4 linked regions of the Pelodiscus sinensis genome follow. The protein of the gene in region 2 purifies or fractionates together with the protein of the main gene of each other region. This does not show direct contact. Links are inferred from orthologs where the notes say so. Each region holds a gene or a part of one and is shown on either strand. Other genes may lie near its edges. The genes, in order: VPS45, SLC39A4, MGAT1 and AGPAT4.

Evidence for each region.
Region 1: the proteins of SLC39A4 (region 2) and VPS45 purify together in Homo sapiens (affinity purification with mass spectrometry; 3 studies listed by BioGRID and IntAct, counting the BioPlex papers as one, with this or other methods). This does not show direct contact. The link is inferred for Pelodiscus sinensis from reciprocal best matches to the Homo sapiens genes SLC39A4 and VPS45.
Region 3: the proteins of SLC39A4 (region 2) and MGAT1 purify together in Homo sapiens (affinity purification with mass spectrometry; 3 studies listed by BioGRID and IntAct, with this or other methods). This does not show direct contact. The link is inferred for Pelodiscus sinensis from reciprocal best matches to the Homo sapiens genes SLC39A4 and MGAT1.
Region 4: the proteins of SLC39A4 (region 2) and AGPAT4 purify together in Homo sapiens (affinity purification with mass spectrometry; 3 studies listed by BioGRID and IntAct, with this or other methods). This does not show direct contact. The link is inferred for Pelodiscus sinensis from reciprocal best matches to the Homo sapiens genes SLC39A4 and AGPAT4.

What each region holds. Positions count from the first base shown.
Region 1 is NC_134734.1:20,470,141-20,477,541, reverse strand, and holds the start of VPS45 (vacuolar protein sorting-associated protein 45), read right to left. Parts: upstream 3,011-7,401; 5' UTR 2,876-3,010; coding exon 2,783-2,875; intron 1,799-2,782; coding exon 1,664-1,798; intron 1-1,663. UniProt on the Homo sapiens protein: May play a role in vesicle-mediated protein trafficking from the Golgi stack through the trans-Golgi network.
Region 2 is NC_134712.1:897,242-905,251, reverse strand, and holds the start of SLC39A4 (zinc transporter ZIP4), read left to right. Parts: upstream 1-4,995; 5' UTR 4,996-5,274; coding exon 5,275-5,478; intron 5,479-8,010. UniProt on the Homo sapiens protein: Selective transporter that mediates the uptake of Zn(2+). Plays an essential role for dietary zinc uptake from small intestine. The Zn(2+) uniporter activity is regulated by zinc availability.
Region 3 is NC_134742.1:11,051,773-11,059,322, reverse strand, and holds the start of MGAT1 (alpha-1,3-mannosyl-glycoprotein 2-beta-N-acetylglucosaminyltransferase), read left to right. Parts: upstream 1-4,536; 5' UTR 4,537-4,668; intron 4,669-7,550. UniProt on the Homo sapiens protein: Initiates complex N-linked carbohydrate formation. Essential for the conversion of high-mannose to hybrid and complex N-glycans.
Region 4 is NC_134713.1:114,253,328-114,260,470, reverse strand, and holds the start of AGPAT4 (1-acyl-sn-glycerol-3-phosphate acyltransferase delta), read left to right. Parts: upstream 1-4,133; 5' UTR 4,134-4,289; intron 4,290-7,143. UniProt on the Homo sapiens protein: Converts 1-acyl-sn-glycerol-3-phosphate (lysophosphatidic acid or LPA) into 1,2-diacyl-sn-glycerol-3-phosphate (phosphatidic acid or PA) by incorporating an acyl moiety at the sn-2 position of the glycerol backbone.

The sequences.
Region 1 (7,401 bases), on a different chromosome or scaffold from region 2:
TGGCCCTGGGGCTAGGCCGGAAGGGACAGGGCCTAATCTGGAAGGGGAGGGGCTAGAATGCTTCTGGGCTTCTCCAGCCCCTTTGCCCCCCCTTCCCACTAGGCACCCATGCCCCTGGCAAGGTGGGAAAAGGCTTCACACGCTGTTCTAGCACCTTGGGGTTACAGAGAATAACTTGGAAACATGAATCTTAAAGGTTCTAAAACTAGATAGAAAATAACAGGCTTAAAATGTATTATTTTTTTAAATATCATGAGTTTTTGGAACCTGGCTCATGTTGTTTGTGGATTTGTAGTTAGCAATAGTACTCCAAAACCAACTGGAACTGTTTTTTCTTCTTTCAGCTTCGACAAAAGGCTGAGCATGTTCCCTAAAAAGTTACAGGGAATTGTTGATAGCTTTCAGTAACTAAATCATTTCATGGATGAAAACATTGTCACCTTTTGCAAAACTACCTGGAAATTTACCAGCCCAGCAATGTTCCCTATAATCTTTTTCATCCATGTGTGGATTTTTCCATCCACGTGAGGAATAAATTTTTTATGTTCACTAAAATATGTACAAATGTGCCCTGCTAGTAGAAACAAACAAAAAGCCTAGCTGTGGGGGCTCTACTAATCAGCTGAGCAACATTTGAATCTTTCCTGAGCGGCTTCACAAGCCCACTGCTTACAGGGAATACGACAGCCCAGGTACAAAATCCACTGGTCACACTTTATAATGGGGCCATGTCAGAAGGAGGAGAGTAGGGATGTAAAAAGTTAAATGTTAGGAAATGTTTAAGTGATTAACCAGTTAACTGACTAAGCAGGATCTGGGCTGGGGACAACTCCAGGCCAGCTGATGCAGCCCCCAGCTCACAGGGCTGCTGGGGCTGGCTGCCAGCTCTCAGACCCACACTGGGGCTGCTACAGGCTCTCAGCTCCCAACCCCACTGGAGCAGCCCCTATCTGCAGTGGACCTGGGCTCCCCACAGTCAGCGGCTGTTCCAACCCTGCAGGGTACCAAGGCTCCCCATGGACAGAGGCTGTTCCAACCCTGCAGGGTACCCAGGCTCCCCATGGACAGAGGCTGTTCCAACCCTGCAGGGTACCCAGGCTGCCCATGGACAGAGGCTGTTCCAACCCTGCAGGGTACCCAGGCTGCCCATGGACAGAGGCTGCTCTGGACAGCAGACTGGCATCTGCCTGTGGGGCACCCAGGCTCCAGCTGCCAGAACAGCCATATCCACAGCAGGCCCACTGCAGGGCTGAAGCAGCTCCCTGCCCATTGTAGGTGGGGAACTGTTCTAGCCCCCACCAATTATCAGTTAACCGAAACTAGTAAACCTTTCACATCCCTTGGGGAGACAAGGGAAGTGTTTGAGGGGTGTCTTTGTATGTGTTTGTTATTCACTCCAGGTGAGTGGATAAGGTAAAGTTTGTACAGCTATCAAACTAAGGCATTGATCCTGAAAAACATAAACTTGTGCTTAATTTTATACACATTAGTCGTCCCAGTGAATTCGTTAGGACTGCTCATCAGAAGCATAATGCCAAATGTGGGGAAAAGTATTTGCAGGATCATAGCCTGAGATATCAGCATTAGCTGCTCTGTTAGTACATAGGCTCAGGGCAGAGCAAATGCCAATGCTGACAGCAGCTGCCTTTAAGAAGTAGCTCACCTTTGTTGGTCGCAAAAAACAGATTGCTTTCAAGTGTTTCATGGTCTCTCTGTTCAAAGAATCAATCCGCTCAAAGAGGTAAACTTCCTTCTGAAGGATTTCCGACTGCGTATACACCATGCTCACAATGCTGGTCTGCAGGGAGAAAGAAAGAGAAGACAAGTTATCTCTACTTGCTGGGGCAGACTCGTGAGACAAGGGAGTGTTGACTAATGGTTAGTACACAGAACTGGGATTCATGATTCCTAGGTTCAGTTCCTCTTGGCTTTGCCACTGGGTTGCTGTGTGACCCCGGATAAATCATTTCACCTTTTGTGCCTCAATTCCCTAAACAGGTCATTGCAGTTTTATGCATTTAGGTAGATGGGCAGCAGCCCTCAGTGCAGTGGGCTAACACTTCAAAGCATGACTTCACCTGCATTCATGGAGTGGGTGTGGCAGATTGATTGGCATTTGAGAACAGCCATCACACACAATCCTCCTCACCACATTCTCCAACTGCTCCATGTCCCATTAAGGAGGCAACACAGAACTGCTTGCAGCCTGCTCTCTAGCCCAGCACTGGCAGGATACTTCCCCAAGAGCAAACTGCTTAGGAAGGGACACCAAGGTTGCAAATTATTAGAGCCAAGATGAGGAAAAGAGGGAGATCTAGGAAGCAGTGTTCCGTTTAAGCTGAGTGCTTGGACAGCCACCCAGGAGAGATTCAGTTGCCTCCCAGCTGATTAGCAGAGCACCCACAGCCAGCAGCACATGTTTCTATTAGTGGTGCACATCCACACATGCCTCAGTGCACATAAAATTTATTCCCCATACAGATGAAAAAAATTGGAACACTGTTAGGAAGCCATGATCATTTCTCTTGCTCCCTGGGCAGAGCGAGCACTAGGAATAGCACAGAAATATTAATCTTCCTAAAACAGCTACAACTCTATTACTTTTCTACCAGCACAAAATAAAGACTGCAGCCTGTGGTCAGGGTGGAAGCCACTGTTACCCCAATAGCTCAGGAAAGACCAAAATACAGAGGCAGAGGCGATTCCATAGAATCTGGAAGGGGTCTTGAGAGGCAGGACCAAACACCATGGTAAATACAGAATCCTTAGGGGCCTAGCTCACCGTTTCTTTATCCATCAAGAGGACCTTCATCCCGGGCCCACTGTCTTCAATCATCTTGGACACATATTGCTTCACTGCAAAGACCACATTCATTGTGGCAAGAGATTGCGCTCCCCACCGACCCGTCTGCAAGGGGTAATATTATGCTAGGCTGCACTGAGCAACCCAGCCCTCCTTTCTCCTGGGCAGCTCGCGGCTTCCTGCCTCTCTGTTTCCTCCTGTTGCAGCCCTGGGAGTTGTAGTTCACAAGGAGGTGGACTGTCGCGCCAAGCAGCGCCCATCCCGTTTCGTGGGAAGGCGTTGCAACTACAAGTCCCAGCATCCACAGCATCAATGAGTTTTTTCCCCCTTGCAGCTGGAGGGGGGCGTGTTTCAATGCACTTCACGCTATGGAGCTGTCAAGTTTTCTCTTGTGGGAGGGGGGGGGCACCACATTGGCGGGGTAACTTTGGAGTAGCGTTTAAATGAGCACCTTTTGCAGTGAAGCATTTTGTTGCATGATTCCCTGGACTGCAGAAAATCTCTTTCAATGATCCTATCACCGCTTGACAGCTGGCTTCATTATGGTAGTTTTTGTCCCCTTTTGCCTTGAATCTTCAGAATCTAAACTTTATTTTTAGAAAATGTTCCTAGGTCTTTGGTTGCAAAGAAAACCTTCCAAACCGACACCGCAGAGGCTGTTCTAAACGTTGCAACAAGAAAAACAATTGCACCGAATCCCAATTGACAATTCTCCCACAAGCCTTAAGTTTGTTTAGTTTTGCCCTAAACTGCTCTAGTTTGAGACTTGAGATCCCGCACAGTTTTTGATGCTCGAGCTGCAAGAAAACAGCGTGGCATGCCTAATACCTTGAGGGGAGAAAGACACATGCTATGCTGGCTGTTGTGTGCTTTATGCACAGTTGCAGGCTTAAGTAAAGCTGATGGATTGGCTAGACACCCTTATTTCAGGTCAAATGGAAGAACAATTAAATGCCCTTTTGGGTAATGATTACTGGAAATGGTAGGAAGCCAGATCCCATTGATAATGGGCTGCATAGGAGGGAAGATCAGAAGCTACACTCTATGCATTTCCTTGGAAAAGATGCAAACACAGACTAGGGTTGCGGCTGTGTGCATGTGTGAAAGGCAAAAAGCAAGAGAGGCTGTGGTCAGCATGGCCCTGAGACAAAGCCAAGAGACAGAGGGTTCTTTTGGACACAGTACTTGAGGGAAAAGCAGACCAGCATTTCCGAGAAAGGAAACTGCCTGCTATTGTTTGTTTTTATTGTGTTTAGAGAAACAGGGTGTTGTGTCCGTTTTTTGTAAATAAACAGGATGACACCAAAGAAATATTTGACTCGTAGTTCTCTTCTTAACAGAAACAACCTGCCAAAGTCCTGAATATTGACGAGGTGTTTTTCGGGTCAAAACAGGTTAATTAAAGAGCTTTGACTGCTGTGGAGGAACAACCTTGAACTTCTAGTGACTCACACTGGAAAGAGAGAGGAAGGATTTGCAGGATCAAGTTCTATAAGCCAAATTTTGGCTGGAAAGCTCAAAACGGGCTCTTGGGAGAATAACTGAGGGTAGCAGTTGGCTGTATGGAATAGTGTTCCATCATCTCTCAGATGGAAGGCAGCAGTCAACTGCAACATGCTGACAATAACTGGGTGAATTTCTGCCAAGAATAAATGGGCAATTTCCTCTGCTAAAGAAACCACAAGATCTTAGAGACAAAAGACTTCTCCTCCACAAGCCCCCCCCCACTGTATACTCAATTTATGCCCCCCCACACACACACATGGGAAAGATGGAGGGGAGGGTGTCAATCAGTCATATTTTGCCACAGAAAAAATTCCCTGTGAAGTACTGGAATTAAAAGTGCCCATTTGCAATGGCTGTGTCAGTCTGAAGGTGACATGGCTGAGCTATTTGGTTTTCTTGATGGTGACTGCAGCATCTCCTGCACAGCTTAGAACTTCAGCACAATTGTTCCTCTGCTGAATATTTTGTTTGGCTTTGTGTAGGAAACTCTGGTTATTGCCTTAAAGCAGCGGTGGGAAACCTCAAGCCCTGGGGCCAGATGCGGCCCCTGGCTTGCCCAGATCCGCCCTCCCCCCCCCAGCATTGGGGAGCCTGCACTGGTGCTCCAGCCCCCCTGCTGCCCCACAGGGCTGGTGCACCCAGAATCTACTAGGCTGGGCCCCCCTCAGCTCTGGTGGGCAAGGGGAATGTGGGGAGGGTCTTTCTCCTCAGCTGGGCGCCATGTCAGTAAGGTGGATTTTTGTTTGTCTGTTTTTGTTTTTTGCCCTGCCCTATTCAGCAACCCAATTGAGCCACCTCTCAGTAAGGGTGCTGCCTTCCCTGCTCCTGCCCTCGGTGTATTTTCTCCCATAGCTCTTTCCAGGCCACCAGTTGCTCATGTGACCCCCCAGTATCCTCATGCTTGCTCCTGTGTTCCCAGTGTCACGCCCTCTCCAAGCTGCGCCTGTGCCCCCAGTGCCAATCTTGCCATGTGTTCTTATCCTCCCCTTAGTACCTAATCCTGCCACCCATTGCTGTCCCTGCCAGCTGTTCCTATCCTCCCCTCCAGTGCCAATCCCTCCACCAAATGTTGCTTCTGCCCCACAGGCCACACCTGCCTTGCCCCAATGCCGATCCCCCCCCCCCACGCTGCTCCTGCCTGCCCCCCAATACCACGCCCCTTCCACCTCGGTGCCAAGGCCCCGTCTGCACCCCCCCTTTCCAAGTTCCACCTGTCCCTGTGCCAATATCCCGTGGCTCCTGCCACCCGATACCAGTCCTCTGCCAATCCCCCCCCCAATATCTTCTCTGCCCCCTCACAGCCAAGCCACCTCAGGCTGCTCATGCCTGTCATGCCAATACCTGCACTCCTCCTGCCCCCCCGTGCCAATACCCCTCCTGCTGCTGCCCCCTGTGCCAGTAACCCTACTGCTCCTGCCCCCCCGTGCCAATACCCCTCCTGCTCCTGCCCCCCCGTGCCAATACCCCTCCTGCCCCCCCGTGCCAATACCCCTCCTGCCCCCTGTGCCAGTAACCCTACTGCTCCTGCCCCCCCGTGCCAATACCCCTCCTGCTCCTGCCCCCTATGCCAATACCCCTCCTGCTCCTGCCCCCCGTGCCAATACCCCTCCTGCTGCTGCCCCCTGTGCCAATACCCCTCCTGCTCCTGCCCCCCGTGCCAATACCCCTCCTGCTGCTGCCCCCTGTGCCAATACCCCTCCTGCTCCTGCCCCCCCGTGCCAATACCCCTCCTGCTGCTGCCCCCTGTGCCAGTAACCCTCCTGCTCCTGCCCCCCGTGCCCGTAACCCTACTGCTCCTGCCCCCTGTGCCAATACCCCTCCTGCTCCTGCCCCCTGTGCCAATACCCCTCCTGCTGCTGCCCCCCGTGCCAGTAACCCTCCTGCTCCTGCCCCCTGTGCCAGTAACCCTCCTGCTCCTGCCCCCTGTGCCAATACCCCTCCTGCTCCTGCCCCCTGTGCCAGTAACCCTCCTGCTCCTGCCCCCTGTGCCAATACCCCTCCTGCTCCTGCCCCCTGTGCCAGTAACCCTCCTGCTCCTGCCCCCCTGTGCCAATACCCCTCCTGCTCCTGCCCCCCGTGCCAATACCCCTCCTGCTCCTGCCCCCCCCCCCCCCGTGCCAAATCTCAGGCTGTTCCTGCCCCTCTTGCTAAACTCCAACCCGCTCCCCCCCCCCCCGAACTCTCGCTTCCTCCGGCCGCCTCGCCCGCCCCCCCCCCAGCAGCTCCAGTCCGGGCCGTTGGAACCGGCGTCTCGCGCGCGGAGCGGCCGTTGGAGACCGCGAGCCGGCAGCTGGGCCGGGTGGGCGCGGGGCGCGGGGGGCGGGGGGCGGGACTGTGGCTGGGGGTGAATATGGGGAGTTTCACTGTGGCCCCCAAATCCTTAGGGTGCGTGTGGGGAGCCCCCAAATCCTTAGGGTGCGTGTGGGGAGCCCCCAAATCCTTAGGGTGCGTGTGGGGAGCCCCCAAGTCCCTGGGGTACATGGGGAGCCCCCAAGTCTCTGTGGTGCGTGTGTGGAGCCCCCAAGTCCTTGGGGTACATGGGGAGCCCCCAAATCCCTAGGGTGCGTGTGGGGAGCCCCCAAGTCTCTGTGGTGCGTGTGGGGAGCCCCCAAGTCCCTGGGGTACATGGGAAGCCCCCAAGTCTCTGTGGTGCGTGTGGGGAGCCCCCAAGTCCCTGGGGTACATGGGAAGCCCCCAAGTCTCTGTGGTGCGTGTGGGGAGCCCCCAAGTCTCTGGGGTACATGGGAAGCCCCCAAATCCCTAGGGTGCGTGTGGGGAGCCCCCAAGTCTCTGGGGTACATGGGGAGCTGTGAGGAATCCCCAAAATCTCGGAGGTGGGTGTATGGGGAGCCCCCAAATTCCAGGAGGATTGGGGGAAGCTGTGGGAAGCCCCCAGTTTTGTGGGGTGCATGGTGACTGGGGATTTCACTCTGGCCCCCCAAATTCCTGGTGAATGGGAGAGCTGTCAGGGCCTCCCAAATTCAGGGAGTAAATGGAGGGATGTGAGGCCCTCCTCAAATTCCTGGGGTAAGTGGGGCAGTTGTGGGGGGTGGGGTGGTTGCCATCGCTCCCTAGGAGATAAGTAGAGTGTG
Region 2 (8,010 bases):
GGCAACACGCCCAGCCCAGGAGAGAGAAAGAGCAGGGCCCGGGCAGCAGCAGGGAAGAACGAGGCTGGTGACTCCGTTTCAGCTGCAGCCCCTGGCTGAGAAGAGGAACAGCCCAGCTGCAGGGGGAACCTTCCCCTGGCTCTAGTGCCGGCTGAGTCACCCAAGCAGGATGTCAGCAGCCCCGGGGACATTTAGAATCACAGACCCATAGAATCCCAGGGGGGGCAGAGCCCTCAGGAGGCATCGAGTGTAGCCCCCTGCCCAAGGCAGGACCAGCCCAACACCATCAGCCCAGCCAGGGCTTGGTCAAGCCGGGACTTTAAACCCTAGGGATGGAGACTCCACCCGCTCCCCAGGGAACCCAGCCCAGCGCTTCACCACCCGCCTAGGGAAAGAGTTTGTCTTAATCTCCAACCTAGACCTTCCCCACTGCAACCTGAGCCCGTTGCTCCCCGTTCTGCCCCCACTGAGAACAGCCTCTCGCCAGCCTCTCTGGAACCCCCCTGCAGGCAGCTGCCGGCTGCTCTCAAATCCCCCCTCACTCTTCTCTGATGCAGACTGAACAAACCCAACTCCCTCAGCCTCTCCTCATAGGTCATGTGCTCCAGTCCCCTCAGTATTTTGGTTGCTTCCGCTGGACCCTCTCCAATGCGTCCACATCCTTCCTGTAGTGGGGGGCCCAGAACTGGACACAATACTCCAGATGTGGCCTCCCCAGAGCCGAATAAAGGGGAATAATGACATCTCTGGATCTGCTGGCAATGCTCCTCCTAATGCACCTAATACGCCATTAGCCTTCTTGGCTACAAGGGCCCCTGTTGACTCCTATTCAGCTTCTCATCCACTGGAACCCCCAGGTCCTTTTCTGCAAAATTTCTGCTCAGCCAGTCGGTCCCCAGCCTGTACCAATGTTTGGGATTCTTCCATCCCAAGGGCAGGACTCTGCACTTGTCCTTGTTGAACCTACTCAGATTTCTTGTGGCCCAATCCTCTAATCTGTCGAGGTCACTCTGGGCCCTTCCCTGCCCTCCAGTGTATCTACCTCTCCCCCCAGCTTAGTGTCATCTGCAAACTTGCTGAGGGTGCCACCCATCCCCTCAGCCAGGTCATTCATAAAGATATTGAACCAAACCGGCCCTAGAACCGAACCTTGGGGCTCCGCTAGAAACCGACCGCCAGCCTGGCATGGAGCCGTTGATCACCCTTTCCTTTGGAAAGACGCTTCCGCTGCCCCTCTCCTGGGTCCTTGGGCTTCGGTGTCCGGCCCTACTCAGGCTCCACAGCCTCTTTGACATCCCTCAGCCTTGCTCCTGAGGCTGGCAGACAGCGCAGCATGAGTGGCTGCAGGCTCCCAATCCCCTTCCCCAGCTCGCTGGCGCTGGGCAGACGGGCCCTGTGTAGGGAGCCAGCTACCACCTGGACAGTGTCGGAGCTCTGCCAGGGAGCGCCGGAGAAGCATCGGCATGGGCTGCAGAGAAGCAGCTTAGAGCCTAAAGGGGGCTGTGGATGGTGCTCTCATGGCAGGACCCAGCACTGTCTGATCATCCCGACAGGTGTCTGTCTGACCTGCTCTTAAATATCTCCAGGGATGGAGATTCCACAACCTCCTCAGGCAAGTTATCCCAGTGTTTCACCACCCTGACAGGCAGGAAGTTTTCCCTAGTGTCCAACCTAAACCTCCCTTGCTGGGTTTAAGCCCATTGCTTCTTGTTCTATCCTCAGAGGCCACGGAGAACAATTTTTCTTCCTCCTCCTTTTAGATACTTGAAAACCGCTCTCATGTCCCTTCTCAGTCTTCTCCTTTCCAAACTAAACAAGCCCAATTCTTTCAGCCTTCCCTCATAGCTCATGTTCTCTGGACCTTCCATCATTCTTGTTGCTCTTCTCTGAACCTTCTCCAGTTTTTCCACATCTTTCCTGAAATGTGGTGCCCACAACTGGACTAATACTCCCGCTGAGACGCAGAGCAGAGCGGAAGAATGACGTCTTGTGTCTTGCTCACAGCACTCCGGTGACTGCATCCCGGAATCAGGTTTGCTTTTTTTGCCACAGCATCACACTGTTGACTCATATTCAGCTTGTGGTCCACTCTAACCCCTAGATCCCTTTCTGCAGGACTCCTTCCTAGACAGTCACTTCCCGTTCTGTGTGTGTGACACAGATTGTTCCTTCCTAAGTGGAGCACTTTGCATTTGTCCTTATTAAACTTCATCCTGTTTCCCTCTGGCCATTTCTCCGGTTTGTCCAGACCATGTTGAATTCTGACCCTCTCCTCCAAAGCACCTGCCACCCCTCGCAGCTTGGGATCATCCGCAAACTTTCTCTGGGCCAATATTGGAATCGCAGATGAAGACAGTGAACAGAGCTGGCCCCAGAACTGCCCCTGTGGATGCTGGATGCTTGTGAGAAAGCTGCTTATGCAAAGACCGCATCCTGTGAGGAGGAAGTTGTGGGAGCAGGAAGTGTGCTGTTTTGGTTTTAAAAGGATTAATGGAGGTTGCCTATCTCCTAGAACTGGAGAGTGACCTTGAATGGTCATTGAGTGCAGTCCCCTGCCTTCACAGCAGGACCAAGTACCATCCCTGACAAATTTTTGTCCCAAATGGCCTCCTCAAGGATTGAACTCACAACCCTGGGTTTAGCAGGCCAATGTTCAAACCACTGAGCTATCCCTCCCCCATGCCCCTAGCATCTTGGCATGCCCAGGTTGTGCTGCGCCGTCTCAGTGCCGCGCAGGAGCGAAGAGCATGTCCTGGCTCTTGGGAGTGCCCGGGAGGGACTGGACGGGGAGGAGACGTCTCTGCAGCCCCGGGTTCAGAGCGGCGCCTGCCAGGCAGAACCCAGAGCAGTTTGCTGGCGAGGTGGCCAGACCGGTGTGGCGGGGGCTGGGGCACAGGTTAAGCACCAGCTAAGCTCTCTCTTGCGGACGCAGAGTGGGGAGCATCCCACTAGAGCTGGGCTGGTGGATTCGCTCCCCTCCAAAACCCACAGCCAGGCCCGGTGGCTCCGTTTGGGGCGTCACGCCTGGCTGCTCCTGCCCCCAGGCCTTTCCCTGATGGGCCCACAGGGCGGCGGCGGCTCGCTGGGCCAGTGGCGCACCAGGCCGTGGGCGTCCACTGTCACGTGGCCTCGGGAGCGGGCGTCTGGCCCCCGCCCCTGCAGCCGGGGTGGGCAGAACGTGGCTCAAGACGAAAGAAGACTGAGTCAGGCTATTCAGCTCAGGGCCAGGGGCCCAGAGGGAAGGAACGGTGCAGGGCTCTCGAGTGGCCATTCCGACAAAGCACTCGGCCCTCGCCACAGCCATGGCCGCTGGCGTGTCTGGCGGCCTCGGTCCCGCCCTGCGCGTGGCTGTCACCCCGCACCGCTCAAAGCACAAGTCTCCTGCTCTGGCCCCTGCCTCACTACAGGTGGCTGGTCGCTTTCATCAGCGCCTGCATAATTTCCTCCTTCCTCTGCATGCCGGTGCTCGGCTGAGTTGTGATGCTGGGCGTCTGGCACTTGTGCTCTGGACTCACGGCCAGTGTGAGGCGGTGCCCTGGTGCCTGGCACTCTCTGGACTCACGGCCAGTGTGGGGCGGTGCCCTCGTGCCCGGCGCTGCCCTATTCCTGGCACTTGTGCCCTGGACTCACGGCCAGTGTGGGGCGGTGCCTGGGTGCCCAGGTGGCCGGTGCTGCCCTGCGCCTGGTGCTCGTGCTCCGCAATCGTGGCAGGCAGGGTTACATGAGGCTTCGCTGGGACAGCTCCGGTGCTGGGCTTATGCCCATTGGCATGTGCAGGCGTCTGTAACAGCCGATGGCCAAGTCCCCGTTCCTCGCATCCTGGGCTGTAACAATTCTGGCTTTGGGACCTCCTGGCAAGATGCGTCCCCTCCTGCTGCTGGCCCAGCCCAGCCGCCGGAGCGTGTTTCACTTTGGGCCTCCAGGAGGGCTGTGGTGCCGCCCCGCTGTCTGCCAGGCCTGCCCCGTGTGGGCCAGGCAGAGCCACTCCTCCGCCCTCCAGCAGGCGACTCGGAGGGTGCAGCTGGACCCACGGGGTGGGGCACTTCTCCTGTCCCCGTGCTTAGTGCTACTCCCCAGGGCTTCCGTCCCGAGGCTCCCGCTGCGCACCACACGGCCGAGCTGTAACGTGCAATCGTCTTCCTGGGCCAGCAGCTCCCTACAACAGCCCGGAGCAGCCCGTGTGCGTCAGGCAGGGAGACGGGGTCTGTGCCTCCCCTGCGGCCCCAGGGATGCTCCCCGAGGCTCAGCAGCAATTCCCTGTCCTGCATCGTTGCCCTGGCTGTGTCTGCACAATGGCTGGTCCCACCCGCTGCCCTGCACCCAGGGCACTAGCCAGCAGCGCCGCTGAGTGCAGGGTGTGCTAGGCAAGTGGGACTCGGTTAAACCCAGGGCCTACTCAGTCCATATGGCTACCTGGCCCCTCCTTCCAGGGACCCTGGGCCTGCCGGCTAGTTCCACTGATGGGGATGCATGGGAGCGCCTCCCAGCGGGAGAGTCAAGAATCTGCTGTAGGGTCTAGTGGTTAGAGCTGCCAGGGTTCTGTCCCAGCTTGGGGAGGGGAGCCAGGCCTACAGGTTAGAGCCACAGGAAGGATGAGTCAGGGGTTCCTGGGCCTGGGAGGGTAGTGAGGCCTAGGGGTTAGAGCAGGGGGGCTCTGGCATCAGGGATCCGAGTTCCCAGCCCCAGCGCTGCGCTGATTCAGAGCATGACCCTGCATGAGTCACTTCCCCGGAGACGGGGCCAGGGCCCGTGGCGGGGGCAGAGCGAAGAGCCCCGGCAGAACGCCCCCAGCTGGTGTCAGACCCTCTCCCTCGCCAGGGAAACGGGGCCGGTGGCCCCTGCGTCTGCCCCAGGCCAGGTTTCCCTTCCCCTGGAGGGGCGGACGAGCCGTCCGGGCTCCGGAGCCGGGGCTGGGACCGTGTTGGGCAACAGCCTCCCAGCAGGTCCTGCCGGCTCATTTCCTCCTGGCGGGGGCTGCTGTGCTGACGGTGCTGGCAGAGCAGAGCCCTGCCACGCCCTGGCGGGACTGGGGCTGGGCCGGCTGCCTGGGAGCCACCTTGCCCTGCCCTATCGCAGCAGGATCTGCAGAGCTGGCCGGGTTCGGAGGAATGGTTAACCCGAGGCAATCTCACCCGGAGCCAATCAGAGGCGGCTGCAGCAAATACCTGCTGGCTTAGAGCTGCTGCTCCCCACAGCTCGGGCTCTCTGGCCCCGGGGAGCCTGGCCAGCGCGGCCACGTCTCCCCAAGCCGGCGCGGCCCGCCTGGACGCAGCCATGGCTCTGCTGCTGGCCCTGGCCCTGCTCTGCCTGGGGGGGGCCGTGCGCCCGGGCCAAGGGGCGCCTGCCGAGGAGCAGGCGCTGCGGGACGTCGGGGCCCTGCTGGCGTCGGGCGAAGGCGCTCTGCCCCACGCTGCCCTGGACTCCCTCTTAAGTATCGCGGCGGCCCGTGTGCAGTGCCCCGCAGTGCCGTGTGGAAAGGTAACGCGCCGCCGGGCGCAGCCCGCTCCCCTCCTTCCTCTGCGGCTCGGGAGCAAAGCGGGGTCAAACTCCAGCCGGGCGGGAGGGGCCGCGGCAGCAGGAGGGCCAGGCTGCCAGGCGGGAGGCGCGCCCCGTCCGGGGGAGTCTGGGGGGCTGGACGCAATGGGGGGAGGTGACGGGAGGGGGCTCCGGCCGGAGGAGTGTCCCCCCCGGGGCGGGGGCGGCCTGGCGTGGTCAGGCCTCGCCTAGCACGTGCGGGCAGGGCCAGCCCCTGTGGCGTGGGAGGTGTCAGGATCCAGGCCGGCTCCCGCTCCTCACCTTTGCCATCACTGAACCCCTGCAAACACGGGACGTCTCCAGCGGACCCGGCCCCTCGGCCCCGTGTCCCGGGCAGGTTCCTCTGTCTCCGAAAGGCTCCAGCCCTGGGCGCTGGCGTCGGCAGGAGCAGGCCGCTCGTGCCCCTCGTGGGCAGAATCAGCCCAGACGGGCCAGCGACCAGCACCGGGGCTGGGCAAGCGCCAAGGGGCTGTCAGAGCAGAGCTGGCCCTGGTTGTGCACTGGTTGTGTGTGTAGCATATGTATGTGTGCAGTGCAAGGAGCGGGGTGTGTGCGCGTGTGTATCATGCGTGTGTGAGCAGTGCGAGGAGCGGGGTGTGTGCGCGTGTGTATCATGCGTGTGTGAGCAGTGCGGGGAGCGGGGTGTGTGTGCGTGTGTATCATGCGTGTGTGAGCAGTGCAAGGAGCGGGGTGTGTGTGCGTGTGTATCATGCGTGTGTGAGCAGTGCGAGGAGCGGGGTGTGTGTGCGTGTGTATCATGCGTGTGTGAGCAGTGCGGGGAGCGGGGTGTGTGTGCGTGTGTATCATGCGTGTGTGAGCAGTGCAAGGAGCGGGGTGTGTGTGCGTGTGTATCATGCGTGTGTGAGCAGTGCGGAGAGTGGGGTGTGTGTGCGTGTGTATCATGCGTGTGTGAGCAGTGCGAGGAGCGGGGTGTGTGCGCGTGTGTATCATGCGTGTGTGAGCAGTGCGGGGAGCGGGGTGTGTGTGCGTGTGTATCATGCGTGTGTGAGCAGTGCGAGGAGCGGGGTGTGTGCGCGTGTGTATCATGCGTGTGTGAGCAGTGCGAGGAGCGGGGTGTGTGCGCGTGTGTATCATGCGTGTGTGAGCAGTGCGAGGAGCGGGGTGTGTGCGCGTGTATCATGCGTGTGTGAGCAGTGCAGGGAGCGGGGTGTGTGCGTGTGTATCATGCGTGTGTGAGCAGTGCGAGGAGCGGGGTGTGTACGTGTGTATCATGCGTGTGTGAGCAGTGCGAGGAGCGGGGTGTGTGCGCGTGTATCATGCGTGTGTGAGCAGTGCGAGGAGCGGGGTGTGTGCGCATGTGTATCATGCGTGTGTGAGCAGTGCGAGGAGCGGGGTGTGTGCGCGTGTATCATGCGTGTGTGAGCAGTGCAGGGAGCGGGGTGTGTGCGTGTGTATCATGCGTGTGTGAGCAGTGCGAGGAGCGGGGTGTGTACGTGTGTATCATGCGTGTGTGAGCAGTGCGAGGAGCGGGGTGTGTACGTGTGTATCATGCGTGTGTGAGCAGTGTGGGGAGCGGGGTGTATGTGCGTGTGTATCATGCGTGTGTGAGCAGTGCGGGGAGCGGGGTGTGTGTGCGTGTGTAGCATGCGTGTGTGAGCAGTGCGGGGAGCGGGGCGTGTGTGCATGTGTATCATGCGTGTGTGAGCAGTGCAGGGAGCGGGGTGTGTGTGCGTGTGTATCATGCGTGTGTGAGCAGTGTGGGGAGCGGGGTGTGTGTGCGTGTGTAGCATGCGTGTGTGAGCAGTGCGGGGAGCGGGGTGTGTGTGTGTGTGTGTAGCATGTGTGTGTGAGCAGTGTGGGGAGCGAGGGGTGTATGTGTGTGTGTAGTATGTGTGAAGGAAGTGTGGGGAGCCGTATGTGTATATGTAGCATGCAGGGAGCAGTGCGAGTGTGGGTGGGTGCCATGCGGGGAGCAGTGAGTATATGTTTGTGTGTGCGAGCAGTACAGGGAACAGTGTGTGTGTGTTAGTGGGGGGGAGCAGTGTGTGTGTGTGTGTGTGTGTGTGTGCGAGCAGTACGGGGAGCAGTGTATAAGTGTGTGTGAGCAGTGTGGGTAGCCGTGTGGGGGGGGGAGCAGTGTGTGTGTGTGAGCAGTGTGGGGAGCTGTGTGTGTGTGTGTGTGTGTGTGAGCAGTGTGTGTGTGTGTGAGCAGTGTGGGGAGCTGTGTGTGTGTGTGTGTGTGTGTGTGAGCAGTGTGGGGAGCTGTGTGTGTGTGTGTGTGTGTGTGTGAGCAGTGTGGGGAGCCGTGGGGGGGGAGCAGTGTGTGCGTGCGTGTGTTGTGTAGAGTATGTGCGTATTGTGTGGGGTGGGTGTGTTACCCAGGCTTTGCACCGCGCCTGGCACAGTCGGTACCTCCAGCCTTGCTCGCCGGATAAGCACTGCCGACGAGGATACAGGCCAACGGCTCCCCTAGGGCAGGGCTCCCCTGGGACCGGTGGGGTGAGCAGCAGCCTC
Region 3 (7,550 bases), on a different chromosome or scaffold from region 2:
GATTTTGATGTAAAAATGCAGTTGTTAAAGGCAGAGGAGACTGGCTTTTTAATTCAAGTCTTTTGTTCAAGCCCCGGATAACAGTGTCAAATTTGTAGATGAATACCAATTGCGTACTCTCGGTAATTGGCGAGTGAAATTCCTTTGTAGAAGAATGGCTACTTGTAAATCCACGATTGAAAGACCAGGCAGGCAAAAATCTTCCCCTATAGGTTTACGTGTGTTACCATTTCTAATGTCTGATTTGTGTGCGTTGCTTGAGGTTGGCAAAATGGCACATTCCCAACCTAGAGAGGAAGACACTCTGTCCCTTCCACTTTCTCTTGTCTCTGCTTCTCTGAAGAGTTAGAAACTCCAGTTATTGGACCATGCATCATCCATTTGTCTGGGACTCAGCCCCGTGGTGCCTCTCCTGACATTGGGTCTGAACCTCTTTAGCTACAAGGCTGCTTGGAAGTTCATGGAAAGAAGTCTGTTGCTTTCGGCGGGCAGCAGATTGGCCCTCAAAATGCATGTGATGATGGCTAAGGTTTTTGGGAAAGGGATGGATGATTTTGGATGCCAAGAATGAGACACCCCTTCTCCCCTGAAAGGCGCTTGATTTTCAGCAGGCCAGTGGTTAGGGCTTCCTCAAAAAATGGAATGTTTGAAAATCGCAAGCCGTGCGCCCCAAAATTACCAGATGGCCCTCAAAATCATGCATCTGTGGAGCCAGGCCAGGCAGGGAGCTGTCTTAGCAACCCCACGGCTCATCTGATCCCAGCACCCAGCATTCCACCGCCCAGTGCTGGGTCTCCTTGTGGAAGGGGGATCAGGTGAGCTGTGGGGTTTCTAAGGCAGCTCCCACCAGACGCATGATTTTGAAAACCCCTGGGCTAGGTGGCCCCTGGAGGAATCCAGCCCGCGGACCGGCATGGTCTTGTGGGTTGTCTTTGCGTCGTGCTCCACCCCAGCATGCGTAATGCTTCCTGAGCCAGGATCCCTCTTGACACCCTTCGAGTCGCTTCTCCAGCTGGCACAGGAAAAAAATGAATGCTCGCGGCCCGGCCCCGCGGAAAACTCGTGGGTCAGGGTTGTGCACGGCGAGCGTCTTTAATAAGACCCCGAGTCCTCTGTGGACGCATCCCTCAGCCGCGAGCGGGAGCCGAGGTGCTAACAGCGCCCGGTGCGCTGCCTCCCGGCACCTAATGAAGAACCCGGAGGCGACGGCACCCCCCAGTTGGGTCCTGACTTGGGGAGTGGGCAGGGGTGCGGCACTAAGTGGCAGCGCCGTGGCTTCCTCTGTTGCAGGCAGGGATTGGGTCTCTCCGCATGGAGCTGATGTGGGGCCAATGGAGATGAAGCTGCGGAGAGCCGTGGGCTCAGTTGCTGTGGGCCGAGAGGAGAAGGAGGGAGGTGAGATGCATAGCCCAGAAATAACCCGTCGGGGCCGAAGTCCTGCCCTCTGCCCGACGGATCCTTGGTTCGTTATACCCACACCTCCCTGCCCAACTTCACTGGCTAGCTAGTCCTGCAACCCACCCTGGAGTGAAGAAAGGAACTCAGGAGTCCGTGTGTGTGTGTGGGGGGGGGGGGGGGGGAAGGCTGAGCTCTAACTTCTAGGCATCGCTGCCGTGCACTAACGCCAGCGCCCTCAGCCCTGACTCACGCTGAGAACGGTCCCAGCTCGACTCGCCCCCATGGGAAGGGGCCACCCCTGCTCCATGGGCCGTATGGCTCGGGCTGGGGCCACCACGCCAGCGATGGTGCTGAGGGACAGGAGAAGAGCCCTGGAGTGGGGCGGGGGGCGGGAGATGGGGTACAGTGGGGGACCGTGGCCGTACTAAGAGGCTGGGGTCACTCCACCCCAGATGACTCTCCCTCACCCTAGATGGGGAAAAAAACCAATTTGCTACGGAGGGATCCCTGGGGGCACCGCAAGCCTCACCAGCTGAGTCCCTGCCCCTTGGGGAGGCTTCAGTGAGTCCCAGCCTCTCCCCGCTTCCAACTCCGACATCCATAAGGGCCCTGACTGCTCTCTCTCCCCTCCCTCCCCCTGCCCACAGCCCTATGCCATCAGGGACAGCTAGGGTGAACCGCACAAGAAAGAGCTTCCTGCATTCCCAGGGATGTGGGGCCGGCTTTCTCAGCGGTGCTACAGAGCTGGGGCAGCCCAAAGTGGTACTGTTCTCCTGTGCCCAGACCCCGGGGCTGGGGTAGGTCGGGGAGCAGGCACTGGGGCTGGGGATCCTAGCTCCTTCCATCCACTGTGCCTCTATCCGGCACCCTGGTCTCTCTCTGCCACTCGCTGTTTTCTCGTCCCTCTTTCTTTCCCTCCGGGTCTTCCTGTCCATCTACCGCTCTCCCTCTCCATCCTGCGACCCATCCCTGGCCTCTTCGAGCCATCCCGTATTGCTCTTTATCCATCCATCTCTCTGCCTTGACAATTCGCTTCTCTCTCTCTTTCGTTCTCATCCATCCCCTCCTCTCTCCAGCCCTCCTTGCTCTGTCCACCTCCGGCATCCATCGGCCTGCCCACAATCTTTTTCCATCCCGCCCCCTCTACCCATCTCTCTCCTCCCCATCCCTGAGATGTCTGATGTTCCTTCCCCGGTGGTCTCTGGCAGCGTTCCCCATAAGCTGGGCACTTGGGAGGCCCACTCCAGAGAGATTCCGCCCCACTGATTGGCAGAGCGCCCACAGCTCGGTTTGTGTTCCTGCTTGGGGTGCACATTGGCACATGCCTCGGTGCACATAAAAACGTATTCTGCACATGGCTGGAAAAGATTAGAGGCAACGTCGGTCTCTGGGCATCTAGGAGATCCTGCCATCTGAGCCAGGCTCAGCATTACTCCCATCCCTACCAACGCAGCCTGCCTCCAGGTACTTCATTGGGTCCACGTTAAAAAAATTGAACACATATGAAAAGGACAAATGATTTGTCCTTTTCATATGTGTTCAATTTTTTAAAAATTGTATCCTTTGGTATCTATGGTTGTGACTATTTTCTTCCACTATTTGATCTGAGGAAGTGGGTCTGGCCCACGAAAGCTCATCATCTAATAAACCATCTTGTTAGTCTTTAAAGTGCTACATAGTCCTGTCTTTTGTTTCGAAATTATGTGTTATTTTGAAATTTGGTGCTGTGTAGATGTGCCAAATTTCAAACTAGAATCGAATTAAGATATGCAATTTGCGTATCTTATTTCGAGTTGCGGATGCTGTGTAGACGCACCTTGAGGTGCTACAGAAGCACTCATTTTTTCACTGATATGACACACCACTTAAATGCACTCAATCTTAAACCTTAAGGCAAAGAAAAAAACCTGCCTTCTCTGATGTGCGATGTTTCTGAATTTGAAACAAAACTGGCCCTTTTTGCAGATCAGTTTCGTGAGAAAGACTTAACTCACTTTCCCATCTTCAACTTGCAAGTGACACAGCTGAGTGAATATGCATCTTTTTGGCCTGATTTTTTTACAGTGTACATCTCAGGGCTGAAAACCAAATTTTCTTCTCATTATCTAGATCCCTGAAGACGGTTCTTGAAGTTACTGAAAATCCATTTTCAGTTGAGGTAAAGGCGCACTCACTTTCAGCAGTGAGCTTTGGTGTCGAGAGGGCCACATTTGAAGAAGAGGTGATAGAACGGCAAATCAATAGTATTCTAAAAGCTAGGTATAAAGAAGAAGGACACTGAAACATTTTGGATGACCTATGTATAGGAAGACACGTACCCGGCATTATTGAAATGTGCCAAAAAAGTGCTAACTTGCTTTGGGTCTACATATGTCTGTGAAAGTTCATTCTCTTCCATGGGAATCATCAAGTCAAAACTGAGCACCTCTCTTACTGACAGACAACGGTCACACAATAATTATTTAGCGAGTTCCCAGGGGCTGAGATTTTTAAAAATTAAAATTTCATAAATATTAAAGCACATAATCAACATCAGGAGTCAAAATATACAACTATAGAAATAGCCTCATGCTGAATTCAAATGCATTTTCAAGCAGCATTTTTCTTAGTTTCCCTATCTGAAAATTTTGATTTTTACAGCTGGGAATATTTGTGTGGGGCTGTGAGCCTATAGTGAAATTGATATTGATACAAAGTCTTAAGAGGGATCGCCATATATATGCTAGCCTGTAAGGGTATGTCTACACTGCACCTGTGTGTTAAGCCCCCCCGCCTCCCCGCCCCCAAACCGGCCCGCGGGCCACAAACCCACGGCCCGCGGGCCGCATGTGGCCCGCGTGATGCCTCATCCGGTGGGCGGGCGGGATTAGTCCATTTAAGACTGTCCCCATTCCACCCGAATGGTTTGCTCCGCGGGGGAGCCGGGCCTCGAGCCCTGGGGAGGAGGGGGGAGGAGTTCCGAGTGTGGGCGTGGCTAGAATTCTCAACGGGCGGCGGCGGGAGGAGGAGGAGGAGGAGGAGGACCCCCCCCCTCCGCCCCGCCCTGGGGGCGTGGCGCGGGGAAGGTTCGAAAAGGGGGCGTGGCTCCCGGCCCTAAGGGGGGGAAGGGACACGCAAGGGGGCGTGGCCAGTGCCGGACGTGGGGGGGGGCGGGGAGGGAGCGACGCGGGGCGGGCTGAGCGGTTGCCATGGGTTCGCTTCCGGCGCTGGCAGGCGGAAGTGGCTGGAAAACCTGGGGGCTGATGCTGCTGTGGCTGAGGCGGCTTCTGGGTCAGTGGGGAAAGCGGGGGGAGGGGCAGGAGCCGCCTCGCGACCCCTCCCCCCCATATCTCCAGGCGGGGGGGGAGGGGGAAGGAGCTGCCCCCCCATATCTCCAGGCGGGGGGGGAGGGGGAAGGAGCTGCCCCCCCATATCTCCAGGCGGGAGGGGAGGGGGAAGGAGCTGCCCCCCCATATCTCCAGGCGGGGAGGGGAGGGGGAAGGAGCTGCCCCCCCATATCTCCAGGCGGGGGGGGAGGGGGAAGGAGCTGCCCCCCCATATCTCCAGGCGGGAGGGGAGGGGGAAGGAGCTGCCCCCCCATATCTCCAGGCGGGGAGGGGAGGGGGAAGGAGCTGCCCCCCCATATCTCCAGGCGGGGGGGGAGGGGGAAGGAGCTGCCCCCCCATATCTCCAGGCGGGAGGGGAGGGGGAAGGAGCTGCCCCCCCATATCTCCAGGCGGGGAGGGGAGGGGGAAGGAGCTGCCCCCCCATATCTCCAGGCGGGGAGGGGAGGGGGAAGGAGCTGCCCCCCCATATCTCCAGGCGGGGAGGGGAGGGGGAAGGAGCTGCCCCCCCATATCTCCAGGCGGGGGGGGAGGGGGAAGGAGCTGCCCCCCCATATCTCCAGGCGGGAGGGGAGGGGGAAGGAGCTGCCCCCCCATATCTCCAGGCGGGAGGGGAGGGGGAAGGAGCTGCCCCCCCATATCTCCAGGCGGGAGGGGAGGGGGAAGGAGCTGCCCCCCCATATCTCCAGGCGGGAGGGGAGGGGGAAGGAGCTGCCCCCCCATATCTCCAGGCGGGGGGGAGGGGGAAGGAGCTGCCCCCCCATATCTCCAGGCGGGGGGGGAGAGGGAAGGAGCTGCCCCCCCATATCTCCAGGCGGGGGGGGGAGGGGGAAGGAGCTGCCCCCCCATATCTCCAGGCGGGGGGGGAGGGGGAAGGAGCTGCCCCCCATATCTCCAGGCGGGGGGGGAGGGGGAAGGAGCTGCCCCCCCATATCTCCAGGCGGGAGGGGAGGGGGAAGGAGCTGCCCCCCCATATCTCCAGGCGGGGGGGGAGGGGGAAGGAGCTGCCCCCCCATATCTCCAGGCGGGGGGGGAGGGGGAAGGAGCTGCCCCCCCATATCTCCAGGCGGGGGGGGAGGGGGAAGGAGCTGCCCCCCATATCTCCAGGCGGGGGGGAGAGGGGGAAGGAGCTACCCCCCCATATCTCCAGGCAGGAGGGGAGGGGGAAGGAGCTGCCCCCCCATATCTCCAGGCGGGGGGGGGGAGGGGGAAGGAGCTGCCCCCCCATATCTCCAGGCGGGGGGGAGGGGGAAGGAGCTACCCCCCCATATCTCCAGGCGGGGGGGAGGGGGAAGGAGCTGCCCCCCCATATCTCCAGGCGGGGGGGGAGAGGGAAGGAGCTGCCCCCCCATATCTCCAGGCGGGGGGGGAGGGGGAAGGAGCTGCCCCCCCATATCTCCAGGCGGGGGGGAGGGGGAAGGAGCTGCCCCCCCATATCTCCGGGGGGGGGAGGGGGAAGGAGCTGCCCCCCCATATCTCCAGGCGGGGGGGAGGGGGAAGGAACTGCCCCCCATACCTCCAGGCGGGGGGGGAGGGGGAAGGAGCTGCCCCCCCATATCTCCAGGCGGGGAGGGGAGGGGGAAGGAGCTGCCCCCCCATATCTCCAGGCGGGGAGGGGAGGGGGAAGGAGCTGCCCCCCCATATCTCCAGGCGGGGAGGGGAGGGGGAAGGAGCTGCCCCCCCATATCTCCAGGCGGGAGGGGAGGGGGAAGGAGCTGCCCCCCCATATCTCCAGGCGGGGGGGGGAGGGGGAAGGAGCTGCCCCCCCATATCTCCAGGCGGGGGGGGAGGGGGAAGGAGCTGCCCCCCCATATCTCCAGGCGGGAGGGGAGGGGGAAGGAGCTGCCCCCCCATATCTCCAGGCGGGGGGGGAGGGGGAAGGAGCTGCCCCCCCATATCTCCAGGCGGGGGGGGAGGGGGAAGGAGCTGCCCCCCCATATCTCCAGGCGGGGGGGGAGGGGAAAGGAGCTGCCCCCCCATATCTCCAGGCGGGGGGAGGAGGAAGGAGCTGCCCCCCATATCTCCAGGCGGGGGGGGAGGGGGAAGGAGCTGCCCCCCCCATATCTCCAGGCGGGGGGGGGGAGGGGGAAGGAGCTGCCCCCCCATATCTCCAGGCGGGGGGAGGGAGAAGGAGCTGCCCCCCCATATCTCCAGGCGGGGGGGAGGGAGGGAAGGAGCTGCCCCCCTTATCTCCAGGTGGGGAAGGAGCTGCCCCCCCATCTCCAGGCGGGGGGGAGGGGGAAGGAGCTGCCCCCCTTATCTCCAGGTGGGGAAGGAGCTGCCCCCCCATCTCCAGGCGGGGGGGAGGGGGAAGGAGCTGCCCCCCTTATCTCCAGGTGGGGAAGGAGCTGCCCCCCCATATCTCCAGGTGGGGGGGGAGGGAGGGAAGGAGCTGCCCCCCTTATCTCCAGGTGGGGAAGGAGCTGCCCCCCCATCTCCAGGCGGGGGGGAGGGGGAAGGAGCTGCCCCCCCATCTCCAGGCGGGGGGGAGGGGGAAGGAGCTGCCCCCCTTATCTCCAGGTGGGGAAGGAGCTGCCCCCCCATCTCCAGGCGGGGGGGAGGGGGAAGGAGCTGCCCCCCTTATCTCCAGGTGGGGAAGGAGCTGCCCCCCCATATCTCCAGGTGGGGGGGGAGGGAGGGAAGGAGCTGCCCCCCTTATCTCCAGGTGGGGAAGGAGCTGCCCCCCCATCTCCAGGCGGGGGGGAGGGGGAAGGAGCTGCCCCCCCATCTCCAGGCGGGGGGGAGGGGGAAGGAGCTGCCCCCCTTATCTCCAGGTGGGGAAGGAGCTGCCCCCCCATCTCCAGGCGGGGGGGGGGGGGGAAGGAGCTG
Region 4 (7,143 bases), on a different chromosome or scaffold from region 2:
CTTTTGCACAAGAAGGAAGCAGTATAGATGTATGGTAGCGGGTCAGCTAGTGCTGTTCCTCCTCCACAGTGATGTGGATCCAGTCTAGCACTCATTCCTGAATCAAACCAGCTGGAATGTAGTTAGGGGTCCCCACCAATTGGATTTGCACATTCCTATATTGCCTACCCCTCAATCTGACTCTGTCTGTACTCGGCTCAGCACCTTTGGCCGACTGTATCAAAGGTGGAAAAGTGTTCCTTTTGCTTTCCTTGTGTGGTGCTGCTGTGATTAGAAAGCAGGCTGCCAGCCTCCTTCAGCAGGTGGCTGTGAATAAAAGAAAGGCCAAGAAAGTCAAGCTGCTGAAAAATGGGACCGACCAATATAATGGGGCTCAGTCTGCAGCCTGGGCCCTGTCTTTGGCAAAACTGTGGAAACCCCAGGAGCCCCCGTCAGCAGAATCAACACACTTTAAACTCCCCAAACTCCCATCACTTTCCCTCTTCCTGACAAAGCACTGCCATGGGGGGCTTACCTGCCAGTGTGCATGCTACAGTCAGAGCGCCTCCTTCATTCCTTAGGGGTCCCAAAAGAAATCAGCATCCCGCTAATGCTCCCTCTTTTGTCATAGCAGGGTCACAGTGGCTATTTTTGAGCTAGAATCACATTCCCCAGGCTGCCTTTTTAAAATGACTCTGGGCACTTTCACCTCAGCAGCTATCTTACAGTCCTCCCAAAGGAAGAAAAAAAAACCAGGACACATGATAAATGCAGGCATACAGGTTATTTCTTATCTCCTTTGCTCTCCTCTTGTCTGGATGTCAGGTGAGGCAGGGAAAAGGACTAAAAATGTAGCGCTAGATCTGCAAGCAGGTGTAGGAAAAACAACTCATCCGATGACCTGTTTTCTCCATCACCACCACCTCTTTCTCCTCTCCATATGAGGTGACCAGACACAAGGGAATACATAAGGGTAGCCAACATAGGCACGAGTGTTTTGCCTTGGACTCTCATGGCTTCAAATTGTCAGCCTTCTGTCCATCTAGTCTTCCTTTGTGGAGTTAGTGTCACTAATGCAGACATAAAGCTAAGAAATCCTTTATGTCTAGACCAGGATGGACAATAATTTTTTACCGGGAGCCATTTCAGAAATTTTTGAAATGGCCCTGGGTCACACCCGAAGGGGCAGGGCCAGGACACTTGCCTGCTTCCCCACCCACAGACCATGATTGGTCTGGTGGTGGGGGAGTGAGTGAAGTCTCCGCCTCCGAGGTTTCCCCTAGGCGCCCGTGCCTCTGGCAATGGGAGGAGACTTTTCGTGCTCCCCCTTCTGCACCCATGAAAATCAGGGCTTGGATGGGAGGGGTGCACATGAAATCTCCTCCCGCCCTGCCAGGAGCACATGGTGCTTTTAAGTGCCACATGCTCCTTGCAGGACAGGGGCAGGGCAGAGGAAACTCCATGTGCTTCCCCCTGCCCCCTGGCCTTGACTGCCCTGGGGGCAGGGAAGCAGCAGTGCCTCCGTGGGCAGGATCGACCTGCAGAGGCCCTTTTGCCCACCCCTGGTCTAGACACTTCTCCTTAGAACAGGGGAGTATTCTTTCAAAATCCAAAGTAGAGGAAACCCAAGATGTTCACCAAGAATTCTTGTTCTCGGAACTGTTTTCCCACGTATATTTTGAGAAGAACAGTTCCTTTCTTGCTATCTCCCTAAGCATTCAGTCAAAAAGAATGCAGTGTGAATGAAGGGGAAGTCAAATGGACAGGCAACACATGAGAATAGTTTCCAAAAGTCTGTAAAAATCACCTCTATGTTCCCATCCCAGCTGTCCTGCTTAAGGCTGCAAAGGTGAAATGAGAAAATCCAATGAAGGCCAAGCATCCGATCAAATGAGCCAAAAAATTCAGTAACATCCATCAGTCACACTGCTTTTCCTCAAATGGATGCAGCCTCATCAGCCCATGTTAAGGACACTGTCCTTGCTGTCAAAAGATATCTTTGACAAAAGGGTGGAATCAGCCCTCTGCAGGATCTACGGAAATGCCTCAGAGCTTCGGTATTTGCTGCTGCTGCTTCTTTTTCTTTTTTCTTTTTTCTTTTTTTTTTGCCACAGCAGCACTTGCTTATGCTGCATCTCTGCTCTCTGACATCCCCCCAAAAAGTGAAAAGAGCCAAGAGTTGGAGTCTTCTTATGGATAATGTCTAATACATCACAAGATTAGTGGACTCAAAGGTTCCAGGCCCTCCGCGGCAGGATCTATTAGATGGAAAATTTCTAGTCATATAAAACCAAGTGGAAAGTGTCTCCAACCCAGATTAAAGGCCAGTCCATGAAGTCACTGGCAGTCTTCATGGGCTAACAGATCCAATAGTCCATGTGAACAAATTTGCAGGGCTGCAGCTTGGCCATCTCTGCATATGTTCCCTAAATTGTGTAAGAATGATAAACCTCAGTAAGATGAAGGAGGGTTCTGCATGATGTAGCTCACTTGTAGTCCACCCAACAATTAGTTACTGGAAGTAAGGGTGGGTACTGGTACAAAAATCCTATTGCTACTGAATTTATAGACCCATCCTCCACCGTAAGAATGAGTAAATGATCTCCTCTGAATATTTATGTTCTGGTAGGAGGATGGGTCCATAAATTCATCCCATCTTGTGCTTTTCATTTTCTTCTATTGGGAGGTTGATTTTCGATAGTAATGCGGGATTTTTTTTCTTTAGGGAGAGTTGATGGGAAAATGTTCGTATACTTAATCTACTGAAGGCAGGTTACTACTTGTTGCTCTTGGGCAGTGCTGTTATTTTTAATGCAAGGTTTTATTCATATATGACAGTTAATGGAATCAATTCTCCAGCATGGCTCTTCAGTGGGAGGTGTTGTTTGGAGAGTCAGCCCTAGACAATCAAAAATGTTTGTCTCTACTTCCTGCGGTATGGGAGACTGAAAAATCCATCCATAGGGAGTTTAGAGACTTATTCTCCTACCTGAAAGATAATTTTCAGGTGAGTGAGGTAAATTTTCTAGCTGTGATCCTGTAATTAAAGACTGTATTATGTGTTTTACAGTTTGAGCTCATGGTGTTTGGAACTCTGCAGTGATGGTTAATCGTGCTTTGCTTTTGCATGTTACCATTTTGCTGTGCTCTTGGTATTTCTCATTGTGTTCATTCATAAAATCTGCTTTCCACTCAACAGTCAAAGACTCTCAGTAAATGTTTTGGTTCCACAGATGGTGAATATTGTGTGTCAGAATATTCAGTATTTGGAAACCTGCCATCTGAATATTTTTGTTATCCCCAGATTAGTTTAGTCTCCCCCATTTTTTAACTAATAGGCATTCTGGGGGTTTCCTCCCCGATATCTCTGTTGGACATCATGTGTGTCCTATAAGATGTTTATATTGATCATATGGCCATTTGGTCAGTCTGTCTCAGATTCACTCATTATAAAACATTAGCTCCTTTAGGGTTCTTCATGGCACCAAACATTTATGCCACCAGAATTCTTATTGGATTAAGCGCTCAATTCCTATGTTCTAGCTCTAACACAAAGCCTCTAATCAGCATGTGAGGATGCAACAAGTACAGTATGACTAGAAGCAATTGTTCTCTTTAAAAAAATGCCCAGTGTGCTAAAAAAGTAAAATGGTATCAGATCAGCTATGCTTATACTTAAAATATCATATTAAAAAAAGTCTTAGCCACCTGTATATTTGTTTTTCTGCCTCAATTGTTGCAACTCCTGTGCTCCTTAGTAACTTGAAGGAAAAGATGCTGTTATTGCTTTGCATAATGCACATTGATCATATTCCTTTTCAATTAATAATGATCTAATTTAGCCAAGGTATTTAGGGCATGACACTAAAACCACTGCTAGCACAGGAAGAAAGATGAAGCTTTCTCTGTAAATGGAAGCAACAGGATCAAGAGAGCTAGAATAAAAATGATATACAATAGGCTATTGTTTGCATTTCAGCGGGAGGTTTCTGTGACAGTATTTTCAAACGTAAACCACTTCCTTCTACTACTTGGTGGGGAAGGGGGTGAGTCATAGATAGTACACCAGTAAGTAGCCATCTCGTCCATACTGCTGAATTGTAGCTTTAAAAGGAAGTGACATGTGGTAGGGAGAAACGTCAGCTCAGAGCCACTTTTTTTTAAGGTACCACCCCAGGGTGGAGTCTGGCTTTCTTTCCAGTGTTGGCTGACTTACAGGCAGCTTATGCAAACTAGTGGCAACTAGAGTCTCTCTTTCCCTTTCTGTCTCTGATTTCTAAGCACATATGTCAAGGTCTGGCAGGCACAAGGTATGTGATATGATATTATTCATGCTACCTCCAAAGAACTTTACATTTTCAGAAGTATTCTTCTTTACTTGGCTTGATTTAAAAAAAAAAAAGACATTGAGTGCAGAGAATCAAAGGACAGAAAGAAGCAGGCTACAATGAGGTGTGTGTTTATGTGAGCAGCGTGTGGTAGAGGCGAGCATCAGGTTTGCAGGCTTATAGGAAAGGACTGCTCTGATTATTTTTCCTTTTTCTTCATTTGTGTAGTACCTTAGTTTTAGGAGGGGCGGGGTTAGTACATTTAATCATTTTACTTGGAAAAGAATGGGGTCAACGAGAATTTTCCTGTTGCATGTTGGCTTCCTTTGTGTCATGCAACATGCTTTTTCTTTTCTTCACAGTGTTTCCATGGAAACTACAAATACCATGGACTGTGTCCTAAATATAAATATCTCTCTTTCTTTCACAGTTGTGCATTTGTTGCATGATTTGGAGTGATAGTTACTAGGATGCAGCACACATTTGTTTCCTCTCCACTTTCATTTTGGTTTTCCCCTATCACAATAGAGGAGGTTAGAGGAGGGGGGAGGGTAGGGGAGGGATAGAGTTGCCTTGGAAACAGACATTTGTGACCATCTATTTACTGTGCTTTCATGAAGATGCTTTCTACATCAAGAGGGCTGTATCGTGTCTAAATAATTAGTGGTTTGAATGAAACATAGGTATGTATTGAAATAAATGCATTGTATTCATTTCACATTGTACTTAGAAGAATTCCATAACCTCTACAACCTGAGAGCAACGTGAAGAAGAGACTGTGTGCTTAGTACTGAATTTTTGTTTTAAAGTTTTGGTTGGCTTTTTTGTTTGTTTGAAAGCTCTGGTTTTCTTTCTAAATGAATATGTTCAACCTGTCAACAATAATATAAGTAGATCCACTTAGCCTGCACAACTTTGCATTTGTTAGTCCAAATCTTTAAACTATAGAGCATTGTTCAGCTGTGAAATGATCCAAAAGAGGATTTGATTCAACAAGTAAGCGTTTACCCATGTGTGTACAAAACAGTAAATGAGGATTTGTTTCATTCTGACCAGAACATTCTCTTCTGTGCATTTGTTTTTGTCTCATCCCATATTTATTTGTCTTGCATTTCCAAGACCTGTACATGCTTAATAAGATGATATTTGCACCTCTGATAACTGTGGTACAACTAATGCGGCAGTTATATCAAGGGAATATAATCAGTCACCCCAAAATGAACACGAGTTGCAAAATAAATAAACAAATATTTTTTTTAAATGTATTGAACAGACCAAGACCCCAAATCTCTTTTCTTTGATACCAGAGAAAGCCCATTGACTTTCATGTGCTTAGTCCATTGTAAATGAGAGGAAAACTTGGGTTTGGGTTCATATGAGTTCTCTGTGTATTCCTGACTTTGAAATGAAAAGTGTTTTACTAAGGTTCAAAATCATGCTATGTTTTTTTCTAATTTCTTTAAAATTTAGTGTAAGTGTACACTTACATTGTTATTACAATTTCAAAAATGCAATTAAATATACACAAAAAGTGAAACTTACGGGTTTAGTGCTCTGCAAAAAGTGGCACACAATCTTTAGTAACCCTCTATGTATGGGAACAGGTTGGAATTTGACCACTGGGTCATAGGGGATATCACATTGTAAAATAGTCAGTTATCTGGCCAGAGAAAAAAATACTGCATTTGCCTGGTGGGTGGCATTGCTTTTGTGAATATACAGCTTAGCTAAAATTATTATCCAGCTTTTTAATAAAAACTAGTAGCTGGTAATTTTATGTGTTTTATTTTTTAAAGCCAAAAATGCTGAGAACCTAAAAATGTCAGGGTAACAGACTGTGAATCCAATTCATCCTGCTAATATTCTGAATAAAAATAGGGTAAAGAACTTGTAAGCTGTGCATTTAATGGTTTGCATACCTTCACACTGGGTCCACAGATAAGCTAGGCTTCATGTTTGGGTTATTCTGGTTTGTGTTGAGAGACTTGTGGGCTATGTCTACACTGGCGGGTTATTGCGCAACTTTGGCCATTCTTGCGCAAGAATCTGCAGAGCGTCTACACTGCCTGCCTGCTCTTGTGCAAGAAAATGTACAGTATGGTGTGCTAAGAGAGAACGCAATGCGCACGAGTTACGCTGTTTTCTAACAGGTGTAAGCTCTCTTGCGCAGGCACTCTTGCACAAGAGGGCAGTGTGGATGTGCAGCGGAGCCGTGTGCCACGTGCAGCCCTTGGAGCTGCCAAAGGGAGCGATGGCTGCTGCTGAACAACAGCCAGGTCCCTCAGGCCCCACCCAGGAGCCACCCCAGAGCACCCAGCAGGCCCACAGGGGAACCAAGCGGCGGGCTCCATGCTGGGGCAACGCCGAGGTCCAGGAGGAGGCCCTCCATAATCCCAAATCCAGGAGGAGAAACACAGACATATTTGCCTGCATGGCCCAGGCATTAGCCGCACAAGGACACCCGGCCCAGACCCTGGAACAGGTCCAGGCCAAGGTGAAAGACCTGCGGCTCAGCTACGTGCAGGCCAGCGAGAGTGGGGGCGGCAGAGCCACTTGCTTGCTCCCACTACCACCACCTGCACAGTATCCTGGCCTACAAGGGGGCCGAGACCCTGGAGGCCATGGTGGACTCAGCCCTGGCCACCCCAGTGGTCCGGCCAACAGATGCAGAGGAGGAGGAGGAAGAGGAGGAGGACAGCAGCCAGAGCCCACCAGCCCGGCACAGCAGCCACCATGTGTCACGGGTCTCCTCGGAGATTGGCGAGGGATCATCTGGTGAGTGTCACAGCTGCCACTCACAAGTGTGCAGGGGGCAGGGGAGCCATGGGGTGGGGGA